4 linked regions of the Saccharomyces cerevisiae S288C genome follow. Changing the gene in region 1 together with any one later gene gives a genetic interaction. Each region holds a gene or a part of one and is shown in the gene's direction. Other genes may lie near its edges. The genes, in order: MGP12, RRG9, BUD25 and CBS1.

Evidence for each region.
Region 2: mutations in MGP12 (region 1) and RRG9 together harm fitness more than expected from each alone (negative genetic interaction), as found in Saccharomyces cerevisiae (one large-scale study listed by BioGRID).
Region 3: mutations in MGP12 (region 1) and BUD25 together harm fitness more than expected from each alone (negative genetic interaction), as found in Saccharomyces cerevisiae (one large-scale study listed by BioGRID).
Region 4: mutations in MGP12 (region 1) and CBS1 together harm fitness more than expected from each alone (negative genetic interaction), as found in Saccharomyces cerevisiae (one large-scale study listed by BioGRID).

What each region holds. Positions count from the first base shown.
Region 1 is NC_001136.10:1,034,731-1,037,424, reverse strand, and holds MGP12 (Mgp12p), read left to right. Parts: upstream 1-1,849; coding exon 1,850-2,194; downstream 2,195-2,694. Other genes in the region: Smc5-Smc6 complex subunit NSE3, read right to left, coding at 1-230; inositol monophosphate 1-phosphatase INM2, read right to left, coding at 552-1,430; ZIP1 (Zip1p), read right to left, coding at 2,362-2,694.
Region 2 is NC_001146.8:245,960-248,845, reverse strand, and holds RRG9 (mitochondrial ribosome assembly protein RRG9), read left to right. Parts: upstream 1-1,741; coding exon 1,742-2,386; downstream 2,387-2,886. Other genes in the region: VID27 (Vid27p), read right to left, coding at 1-1,385; PEX17 (Pex17p), read right to left, coding at 2,630-2,886. UniProt on the Saccharomyces cerevisiae protein: Required for respiratory activity and maintenance and expression of the mitochondrial genome.
Region 3 is NC_001137.3:183,231-186,700, reverse strand, and holds BUD25 (Bud25p), read left to right. Parts: upstream 1-2,000; coding exon 2,001-2,023; coding exon of another isoform or gene 2,024-2,160; intron 2,161-2,481; coding exon of another isoform or gene 2,482-2,531; coding exon 2,532-2,970; downstream 2,971-3,470. Other genes in the region: medium-chain fatty acid-CoA ligase FAA2, read right to left, coding at 1-2,160; HEM14 (oxygen-dependent protoporphyrinogen oxidase), read right to left, coding at 2,482-3,470. UniProt on the Saccharomyces cerevisiae protein: Involved in bud site selection. Required for resistance to the DNA-damaging agent methyl methanesulfonate (MMS).
Region 4 is NC_001136.10:332,621-335,808, reverse strand, and holds CBS1 (Cbs1p), read left to right. Parts: upstream 1-1,998; coding exon 1,999-2,688; downstream 2,689-3,188. Other genes in the region: isocitrate dehydrogenase (NADP(+)) IDP1, read right to left, coding at 1-974; COX9 (cytochrome c oxidase subunit VIIa), read left to right, coding at 1,413-1,592; BDF2 (Bdf2p), read right to left, coding at 2,869-3,188. UniProt on the Saccharomyces cerevisiae protein: mRNA-specific translational activator of cytochrome b.

The sequences.
Region 1 (2,694 bases):
TTTATGTCCATAAACATTTTACTAAAAGACGGTTTTGCTATGTTTTCCTCGCGAGCAGCTTCATGTATAACAGATTGTAACTTGTTTCTTGTTATGATCGAATTTTGAGATTCTCCTCTCGATAAAATATACCTAACCATTTTTCTAGCTACAGGATTCTCTTTAACGATCTTGGCCACGGCTAAATCTTCTGTTAAATCCACATCGCTGTCATTATCTATAGAACTCATGCTAATGAGAAGCTTATGTTTATCGAACAACCTTCCCTTGTAGCATACTGATATAGGACCCCTTCAATCGAAGTTGATAATAAGCGCATTACTCTTCATTGAAATTTTTCTTCACGTATATCGCGCTGTTAAAGGAGAGGGCCGCATGCATGTAATACTTGCTATTCTTGAGTCAGAAGCCCACACTAAGTGACCTGTGAAATCAAGTTGCTGCTTCAAGATATCGTCCTGTACTGGAAAAAAATACTAGTAGGAATTGCGTGAAGTACTATATAAACTTTTCTTAGATGTAGCTTATTTAACGACACCTGAGGGGGGCATTTAGTATTCTAACTCACCCGCAACGTGAGGCCAAAACGATTCTGCAAATCGCTTCTGCTCCATCGACTCACATCCACCTCTAATAGCCAAGTAACATCTTCTGTCTAATGGAATGTTCCATTCTCCACAATTTCCGCCAACCATTATTCCTCCTGCTTCCTCAAGAATACACCAACCGGCACAAACATCCCAAGCCCAGCAGCCACCTTCCCAATAAGCATCAAGCATGCCGCTCGCTACGTAGCATATGTTCATGGCAGCACTTCCTGCACTTCTGAACCCGTGAACAAAGGCGCCGGACTCACTTAGTAAGTTTTTATAAGTATTCATTTTCTTATCAAAGTTTCCTTGGGAACCTTCAGTTCTTTCCGAACCTCCTTCTAAAGCAATTAAGGATTTTTGCAAAATCAATGGCCTTTTTGAAACCTTTATCTCCTGATCATTTAAGAAAGCTCCATTGCCTTTGGAAGCATGGAATAGTTGGTTTAAGTGAGGATTGAAAACCACACCAACAACCGGCTTCCCCATTTCAGCTAAACCTAGAGATGTACAACTATAGGGGTAACCGTGAATAAAATTAGTAGTACCATCGATGGGATCAACAATAAATGTAGGGCCGTTAGTTATTTTCGTGACACCTTTTACATAAGTTTCTTCTCCGATAAATTTGAAACTGGGATACTTGGCCGTTAAATTTTCCTTGATTATAGATTCAATTTGTTTGTCTAAAGCAGTTACCAAATCTACGCCATTTGCTTTATCATCATATGAACAAAAGTTTGTTCCTGCGTGCGATTTTACGAGAGGTCCTATTTTACTCCTAAGTAATTCAATAAATGTGTTCTCCACTTCCTCTAGTACTTGCCTCGTTAATACCATCGCTTCAATCTAAGTTTACTTTACAAGGGCTTGTGGAGCTTCAACTTCACTTATTCTCTATATTGTTTTCACGATTTTTTCTCCCCACGATTTCATATGTAATGAAGCAGGGTGCTTCACGGCGTTATCACTCGGAACACTGACGTTCTTTATTAAGAATTACCGTTTTAAGGGAAATAATAAGAGGTCACTTAATATGACTGTGAGAATCCATTTTTGTAGTTTTTTAGTTACTGGCTTTGGAATGTCAATATAACTGTGATTGACTTCCCTTTTTTTCGCTTTATGGGTCTATGATGTGCGCAAGTTGTTACCTTTCCGTAGAGAGTTCGGAGTTGATGCATTGTAAAGTTTCGTTTAATTCATAACAGAAATTCGTAATTATTCAGTAAGACATAAAACTTAAGGAACATATCACCATGTTGAGAGCGTTCCGCTGTTCTATACATACTTCGAGGGTATTGTTACATGATGCTGGAGTGAAATTAACTTTCTTCTCAAAGCCTAATTGTGGGTTATGCGATCAAGCAAAGGAAGTGATAGATGATGTATTTGAAAGAAAGGAATTTCATAATAAAGCAGTTTCACTAGAGATAGTCAACATAACTGACCGAAGAAACGCAAAATGGTGGAAGGAATATTGCTTCGACATACCAGTACTTCATATTGAGAAAGTTGGTGATCCTAAGTCGTGCACCAAGATCCTGCACTTTCTTGAAGAAGACGATATCAGTGATAAAATAAGGAGAATGCAATCTAGATGACCTCTTTTGTTTTTACTAGAGTTACAACACTGTAAATATTTATAAGCTATGAATAAGTATATACCTCAAAAAACTATATCTACGCTAATTTTACTATGCATACTTCTTACGCAGGGAACAAAATGAAATGTATTCGCACAAAACGATTTCAAATTTTCCATTATCCTCTATTTCCTTCTCCTTTTCTTGCTTATTTTTAATGACTGGTCTTCGTCTTCTACTAGTAGTAATTTTTTTCTTGAAGAAATTGGAGGTTTCATGCAATTTGAACCCTTCTTGATTTTTCCTCTCACTGGTTTAATTTGGATTGGGGAAGGGTTGGTTAACTCTAGGTCGTCATTTGATGATGAAGAAAGATCGAACTCATCGTTAAATTTGGATGTTTCTTTGGATGAATTAATTCTTGACTTACTTATATGATCCACCTTAGGACACTTTTTCATAGGAGAGTGAATGGCAGCAGAGTTATTAGGAAATAAGTTGGACGTCGTAGCATTTTT
Region 2 (2,886 bases), on another chromosome or scaffold:
GAAATATTCTTTATGGCAGCTACAAATTCTAGAGAATCGTCTTCATCATCCGTTTTGAACACACCAATTCTGTTATCTCTTGTAACATATGACCTGTTGTTCCTAAAGGCGACAGTCAATGAACTATTACCTTTGGAAGTCGCACGCCTAGGTTCTTCAAAGGCTTCAGATGAAATGATTCTTTTGGAGTGATCGTTTTCGTCATCCTCATCTTCGCTATCATTTTCACTTTCGCTTGATTCTTTATCTCTTTCCTCATTTGATCTGTCATCTATGTGTAAAATGTCATCAAATTGCTTTTCCAATGGCACGGATGATGAATCTAAAATATAATCTTTCTCCTTTTCAGGAACGTCGGTCCACGTTTCTTTGTTCAAAGTCATCCATAAACATTTAACCCAAGCAAACCTGAATTGAATACACTTATCTAAGTCCTTAAATTTTAACATATAAGACAATGTAATGTTTTGTAGCGTATAGTTGAAAAGAAAGGCATCGGTAGCTAATTCAAAGGTAGGATTGATATTTGGGGCGACCTGAGTCCCAAGACGATTATCTTTACCTTCTATCGCTAGCCAAAATTCGTACTTGCCTGTATCAATAATTGCTACCTTTACCACGGGCTCCTGCAGAATAAATTTTTCTTGAATTGGATCATACATGTATAGGCTAGACATCACTAAACAACAATATTCCCCTTCTGGAACTTTTTTCAATGGAGAAGGAGTTCTTTCCAATATTTCACTTTCCTTCTCGTGCTCAAAAGAGGTGTCTTTAGCATCTTGAAAGTCATCTGAGCTTGAATCTAACTCGTCATCATCATCTTGAACAAAGAGCCTGGTTGATCTATGCTCTATTTCCTTTAAGTCATCTGCTGAGGCAGTGAGAGAGGATTTTTTATTCCTTACTTCGAATTGGCATCGGTAAACAGTTTGGATAAACTGTTCAACATCAGAAAACGACACATCAGCGGCAACAACAAATTGAACCTTTTCATCTTGTTCATCACCTCTTAAGTTCTCCCACACAAGCGCCACGTTTCCTTGTTTATCCCATGTTTTGTGAAACATGATTTTATCCGATATTTCAACGCTCCACTCCTCTTCTTTCTTTTTAGACTGTGTGGATAAAACACTGATGGTGTCGTCTTCAAAATTCTCAGCCTCATCTCCCGTGCCTCCTTCACTATCGTCCTCTACCCTATAAACCGCCAACTCATAATCAAATTTGCCTATTTTACGTACGCTTAAAGTTGCATTGTTGTAAATACATTCTAAAGCAGCTTTAGGGGAATTCTTAGACCTCAAAAGATTAAACTGCCCAGAAGGTATCGTGATGAGCTCTGGCTTGTTACCAGACTCCATAAACTTCTTCAAAATGTTCATCAGTCACTATAACTACTGCAGATATTATTGGACTGGATACGTAAAGAAAGAATGAAGTTTGTTTCTACTAATCAAGTTCGAATGAAGTGCTTGACTACTTTGCTTTCAGTGCTGTCCTTAAGGGACATTACTAAGTAAAAGTGATTAGTAAAAATAACAACATTCCCACAGTCGTCTAAAATGATCATAAAGCTAGTAAATATGAAATGATGGTAGAACTAAAACACCAATCACCAATGGTGTAGAAAGTCTCCAAGGAGAGTCGATCGTATACTGTTCATATCACGGTAAGCTATTTAACAAGGCACTACGTATTCCCTTCGACTTCCTTCTGAATCATTTGGTTAGCACTTGGCATGAACATTCTGCGAATAGCATGTCGTTCTTTTCATTGCCTGCGCTGCGGTCCATTACTCAATGAGAACAGGGGATGGTCATCCAAAAAGATTATTAAATTAGTCAATAAATCGAGTTTGTCCAATAAAGAGTTTACAGAAAAAGTACGAGATGGTACGAAAGACATTCCTGAGTGGAAGAAGCAGAAAATGGCAGTTAGAAAAAAATTGCAAGGCCAGAGGTGGAACCCACCAAAAAAGATATCACAGGAACAAATGGAGGCTCTAAGACTATTGAAATTCAACTTTCCTGAACTGACAGCATCTGATCTTGCAGACCGGTTCAAAATTTCTCCCGAGGCTGTTCGAAGAATTTTGAAGTCCAACTGGAAGCGTACTGATGAGGAAAACAATAACACCTACGAGAGATGGAAAAGAAGAGGAGAACGGATAAAAGAAATGTATCAAAGAAAAGAGGATGCCGATTTTGTATCCAATCAAATTGTTACTAGCAGAAAGATTATACTTGGGTCCAACTCAAATTCACCTGAATTAATAGCAAGGAATGTTCGCACTTTTAAACCTTTCAAGCCTAACAACAGTACACCTGAAAAGAAAAACACCAACAAACTATACATTTTGAAGCATTTGGGCTCGAAACAATAACACTTTTGAGGGATTTATATATTATTACGAAACTTCTTGTAGATAAAGGAACATATATATGTACATTAGAATAGAGAGCATGCAGTAATATCGTTAGTGGAACCGTTTCTGCACTTTCACTTGCAAAAATTGGTATGTGTCTTCTTAGGTACTATGAAAAATAACGGTATTGTTCGCCACTGATCAGACGGATGCGTTACGTGCACTAGAGCGTTTTAAATTCAATGCTATTATTTTTGATTGTTACCTTGGCACTTGGCCATTCACAAACCAACCTTTGATTTCTCGGATTCCCTGTATAATATTTCTTGATTTATTTGAGAAAGCTCGGGACCTATCTGTTAACTCAACCTGGTCAGTCACCATCTTAATTTGAAAGACAAAATCGTCTATACTTTCAGATGGTTGGCCTGAGGATCTGTTAAAATACTGTAATTCTTGTTTCATATTTTGCAGTTGATAAATCATTTCAGCCCAATGGCTATTATCTTCTCGTATTA
Region 3 (3,470 bases), on another chromosome or scaffold:
TTTGGCACGCTTTATTTTAAAAGTTGGCGTCACAACATCATCCTCGAGAGTTAAAGGCTCAAGTCCGACTTTGATGTTATGCAATTTTTCGAATCCTTGTAGCCCATCGGTGCATTTATTAATTTTGTTTAAAAATTCCTTCCTTAGCTTTTTATTACGATTTAAGTTTTCTACTAGCACTTCCTTAGTCCACGTTTTCACCTCTGGGTGCTTTGCAGCTAAAATCGGTTGCGCTGCATCAACATCAACACCAACGATGCCAACTAAAAATGTCTTTAAAGGATCTCCAAAGACAAATATTTGCGTGATATAGGGGCATGATGATAAATAAATATTTTCGATTTTCTCTGGAGCAATATATTCACCATGTGCTAGCTTGAAAAAGTTCTTGACTCGATCAATGACGCTGATGCGACCTTTTCCATCGATAAATGCAACATCTCCCGTGGAAAACCAACCATCTTGGTCAACGGCTTTTGAAGTTTCATTCGGATTTTTAAAATATCTTTCAAAAACCTGTGGGCCACGAATTTGCAGTTCACCTTTTAAATCCTTGTCGGCATGGTAACCCATTTCTGGAACAGACTTCAATCTACATTCTGCAGAAATACCTATGGCACCACAAGATCCGACATCTTTTTCAAACGGTTCGCTTAAACAGACACCAGCAAAAGTTTCAGTTAAGCCGTAGCCCTGTCTTATACCAATATCCAAGGCACTTCTTAAAAATAGTAAGGTATCTTTAGATATGGGAGCTGATCCGGTAATTATAAACGAGTTATTGGACAAACCTAAAGAGTCTCTGATTTTATCAATCAATACGCGATGATAAACTAGAAAATTCATAATCGATTTATCTGGACCACCTCTTGCGGTAAATCTGGCCGATTTAGAATCCAATATAGTATTTGCTACGTTCCTCTGGACAGTCGATTTATCCAAAGCGTTTTTTATACCGGCTTCAAACCGTGTTAATATTCTAGGAACCAGGGCAACCGCGTAAGGTTTCAAAATCTTCAAATCCTCTACCAATACAGTTGGGTCTGGTTTATGTAAGAAGCCTATTCCAAACCCGATGGCTAGATCATACGCAATAACCATTCTTTCAAAAATATGAGCCAATGGCAAAAAACACATATCATATAACTGTTGGTTTCTTTTATCTGGCGGTATTCTGAAGGTAGAAAAAGCAAATGCTATCCCAGACGCAATGTTTCTGTGAGACATTTCCACACCTTTAGGTAAACCTGTAGTACCAGAAGTAAACGAAATAGTATACAAGGAATCTGGGGTAGGTGGAATTGCAGGAATTTTGTTAAAGCAACCAACTTGTTCTACCTGCTCCAATGAAAAAAATGTGATTTTTTCATTGAGAGAGTTGCACTTAACGGGTAGCAACGATTCATTTAGCATACGGAGCTCGTCATGAGTTAATTCATCCATACAAACCAAAGTATTAACAAATTTCATATCAGGCACCATCTTCAATACATGATACATATTTGATTTTGCAAAAATCAGAATGGGGGCCTCGGTTAAATTCAATATGTACTCGGAGGTGTTTGGACCTAATGTTTCGTACAAAGCCGTGTTAGTTAGAGAATAGGCCTGACAGGCCAAATCTGTTAGGATCCATTCAGGGTTGTTGTGTGATAAGATAGCAACAACAAAATCATTGGCTTCCAAAGGACGTTTCCTTTTCGTGTTTACCAAAGACAATATACCACTTCCGATATTATGACATCTTTTAGATACCGTGGAGTACGACTCGAAACGGAATGTTTCCTCCCAGGTGCCTGTGGCTTTATCAATTGGCCTTGAACCTAAACAGTCACGTTGAGGCCATCTCCTTGCAGAAAACATGAAGTGATCGTATGCAGTTCTTAAGTTTTTATCCACACAGCTCACTAGATTTTCAGAAGAAAGAGAACTCCTATAAATCGAGCTAAAACCAGCTTCATTATCCGGATTCGAAATGGCAACCGCCTGTTTCTTTAAAAATGTTTTGTACCTGGGATAGCTGGTCAGTGGTAATTGAGAGTATAGCTCTTCAATATATTCATCAGAGCCTTTGGTGTAACCGGCTAATCTTGTCTTCAAACTTTCGAAACGAGGATCCGATTCAATTAAATCGGTAAGTGCATAATCTGGAGCGGCCATATTTCGAAACAAGTTTGTTCTTATCCGTTTTTTGTAACCTGCATTCTTCCACTTCCCTTAGCCATGCGTTTCCGATGCTTTATATAGTTCCAACCCATCATCGCTCAACTCCGCAATTAATATTGAGTTCCCTCGTTTTGACTCCAACCCATCATCGGCGGCTCGGCGTTAAAGACTGACGGTCCGGAGGATGTTCTGAAAAATTTGGTTAATATAAATAAATTGTGTCTTTTGATACTAACTACTTTTTCTTATTAGCTGATAACTGCCTCAATTGTCAAAAGAAGTAGTTTGCGTAAAGCTAACCATATATATACGTACTTATTTGCTTAGCTGTAAGGCGTCGTTAAAGCCGTCTACAATAACGTCAGGGACACCGGGACTTCTAGAAAATCCCATTCCCCCCACAGAAACTGTTTGGCCGTAAGATTCTTGCAACTTCCTTTCAGCTCTTTCTTGCCATGCGTCATAACCTACATGAAATCTTGGCAGACATCTATCGGCGATAGTGAATTCCCACTGACCAGCTTCCAGATCCTTGTTACTGATGCCGAGGTGGTTGTTCAGCGCATCTTTGACTGCATTAATGGTTACCTCCCTGGATGGCACTACAGGAACACCGTGTTCATTGAGCATACAACCTCCTATCATCGCAGTCACTTTTGTATATTTGTTGAGGGCGTTTGGGTTTGTGGAGAGTTTGTCAAAAAGTGGTTTGAAATTCCTTTCGATAACAGAATCGAAAATTACACCAAGCAATTTCCCTGGATTCTTATTGGATTTGGGAACCAAGTATCCAAAGCCTTGTAGATCGGCATCTATTACATCTTTGTTTGGCAAATAATAATTAACTAAAATTATTGTGTTTGATTGTATCTCATCTAATAACTTGGATAATGAATTTTGATCCTTCGGTAGCAATTTAGCGATTTTGGGAGGTGTTATCGTAAGTCTTAAATGGTCAAATGTTTCGTATTGGTCGCCAGATTTCGCTTTCAATCCGATTGTCGTTTCGTTAGCAGGGCGTTTCATTATTTGCGTAACCGGGTTCCCAGTAACTATTTTGACGTTTTTAAATTCGTTCAAAGCATTTCTGACTATCTTGGGAAACGTTTCTAGTCCCCCAGCAAGACCCAACATGGGATATTTCTTTAGCGTGTTGGATAAGTCTAATAACTTTGACCTGTCTTTTCCAAACGCATTTGAGTAGTCGTTAAGGCAGCCAGTTAAAGATTGGTGCAGGTTCTCAGTTTTTTTACTTCTTGACTTTCCGCGCATATTATCAATCATAGCTTGTGTGTTAGATCCGT
Region 4 (3,188 bases), 700 kb from region 1:
GCAGCTTCACTTTCGAAAGTTTTACCGTCTGGTGTAACTAAGATAGAAGTCATCAAACCTAAGGAGCCAAATCCTTGAGCGACGATGTCAGATTGGACATCACCGTCATAGTTCTTTAGCGCCATGATAAAGCCACCTTTAGATTTTATCATTTGAGCGACCATATCATCAATTAAACGGTGTTCATAGTGGATCCCTAGTTGTTCGAATTTGGATTTATATTGAGCTTCATAAACTTCTTGGAAAATGTCTTTGAACCGACCGTCATATTTCTTCAAAATAGTGTTCTTGGTTGACAAGAAAAGATTTAGCTTTTTGTCAATGGCCAGCTTGAAAGACGAATGAGCAAACCCTTCGATGGATTCGTCAGTATTGTACATGGCCATGGCCACACCACTGCCCTTGTAGTCATACACTTTCAAAGTTTGTGGTTGAGCAGTCGTAGGGTCGGATGGCTTGTAGACCAGTTCCAAAGATCCTGGGCCTGGGATCAGTGTGTCCGTAGCTTTATATTGATCACCGTGGGCGTGTCTTCCAATAATGATTGGTTTTTCCCAACGTGGGACCAGTCTAGGAATTCTAGGAATCACAATGGGCTCTCTGAACACTGTACCGCCGAGAATGTTTCTGATGGTACCATTAGGAGATTTCCACATCTTGTGCAGGTTGAATTCCTTCACACGAGCTTCATCAGGAGTGATGGTGGCACATTTGATACCAACACCATACTTCTTGATCGCCTCAGCAGCATCCTGAGTAATCTTGTCGGAGGTGGCGTCACGAGATTCGACAGATAAGTCGTAGTACTTCAAATCTACGTCCAAGTAGGGTAGAATCAATTTCTTCTTGATCTTATCCCAAATGATACGGGTCATTTCATCACCGTCCAACTCGACAACGGGTTGTTTGACCTTAATCTTACTGAAAGCAGCAAGGCGAGAGGTGGAAAATAATCTTCTAGATAACATACTCATGCTGGGCGATCTTCCTTGTGCGTCTGTTGTCTCACAATTGCTTGAAGGAAGATTTCATAAGATCATATGAGTCCCTCTTTATATGGGCAAGTGGAATTATGTGAGTCAAAATCCGCGCGTGACCCGTAAAGCGTTATCAGAAGGTGCAAACGGTGCTATTTAGCTCATAAAAGGAATGATTCAAGCTCTTTTGGATTGTAAGACACCTTTATTTAGTCCAAGATCATTGCAGACCCTTGTTATGGTCTTTAGCAGAGTCCTCCTCTATATCTCTTCATTTACTGCAACCTGATTGGCCCGCTACCACGATGCCCGCTTTGTTCCTGTGGTATTAAAAGAATCGATGAAAGAGACTCTTATCTTCAGGGAAAATTAGGACCGAGAATTAGAGCAAGCAAGATATTTGCAAACTACTAACTACAAGCGACTTACACAGACATGACTATTGCTCCAATTACTGGTACGATCAAGAGAAGAGTCATCATGGACATCGTCCTCGGGTTCTCCCTCGGGGGTGTCATGGCCTCTTACTGGTGGTGGGGATTCCACATGGATAAGATTAACAAGAGAGAGAAGTTCTACGCAGAGCTAGCTGAGAGGAAAAAGCAAGAGAACTGACCGAACCTGACCACTATTGTTTTTCGCATTATATTCTTATTCCTATTTATTTATCTTTTATTTTTTTTCTGTGCTGGCCTCGATTGATTACTTTTGCAAGAGTTTGTAGGGAAGGAAAACAGACAAGTCATTCTTTTCTTTCTTTTTGACCTTTATCATAATTTTCTATTTGTATAATTTGAAAAAATAGTTTTACATATTTATGTAGTGTCAAACTAAAATAAAAACAAACTTAAAAAAAGAGTTATAGAAAATGTATGTGGAGAATAAGACAGGCAGACCTTGAGTGAACTAGGAATAGTACAATATTACCTTTAGGAGGTGCCACGTACTACCCCTTTGCTTCTATTCTTCTATGGTTTCTTTATAGCAGGATAAAAGAATAAATCAGATAATGAATCTCGACATGTTGAGGACAAAAGTGTTTGCAACTACTGTTGCTCGAATATCTGGGATTCGCAGGTATATTCCCATCAGAACTATAAACACGGTGACGAAAAAGAATATTAGTAAGATAGAAAAACTGTGTGAAGTCCTTGAAGTTAATCCTGACGGATATAAAGGAAAGGAACGCATACCGACTAAAGAACTAACTAAACTGCTATATACCACAAGCAGGAATATGTTGGTACGAGTACCAATGACTGGAGACTTGAGCACAGGAAATACATTTGAAACAAGAAACGAAACTTTACAAAAATTGGGTGAACAGCTCATTCACTTGGAAATTAATAAGATGCTTACAATAACATTTACGAATTTCAATCAGTTTAATATAATGAACAAAAACTTCAATTACATTCATAACTTAGATCGAGCTCGAGTAGTGAACATGGACTCGATAAGCTGGCTTATCAAGAATTCGTTGAAAATTAACCAATTAGCTCATTTGCGAATACCTGCCAATTTGCCGAAGGAAATGGGATTAACTTCCAGCTCTAATGATTTTCAGAACTTGAACGATTGGAAAGTGATCTTATCCTTTATTGGTTACCTGAAATTACTCGAAATTAAAAACGATAACAAAAAATTCATTGAATCAATTATAAAAACTATATGCATACCTCTAATTAATTACCATTTGCGTAAATCATAGTACAAAAGAAACGATGCCTTTTTGTCCGTTATCCCTTTGTTTTATTTACAATAAGTACGTAAAAACAATTATTTCTTATTTTTGTTTATAATGTTACAAATCTTTTTTATCCCCATTCTTCCCAATTTTTTTTTTCTTTTCTTTTTTTCCTTAATTAGGGCATGAAGCCCATTTCGATTGTTAATCACTGTCACTGTCGCTACTATCACTACTGTCTTCTTCAGAATCGGAATAATTATTATTATTTATGATTTCATCCTTTTCCAAAAATTTCAAGGTTTTCTTTTTCTTGTTAGTTGGCGCAGTCGAGTAGTTGCCACTTAGTTTTCTTTTGCTATTGTTGTTATTTTTTTTCTCAAAATATCTCTCATAAATTCTTGCAATAGTCGCTTCATCTAAAATATCCAAATCAATTTCAATTTCATCTTCATTGGAAGTTAGTATTTCATCTGCGGGTAATGAATTTTTAATGATACGAATCATCCCATTCATTTCTAAAT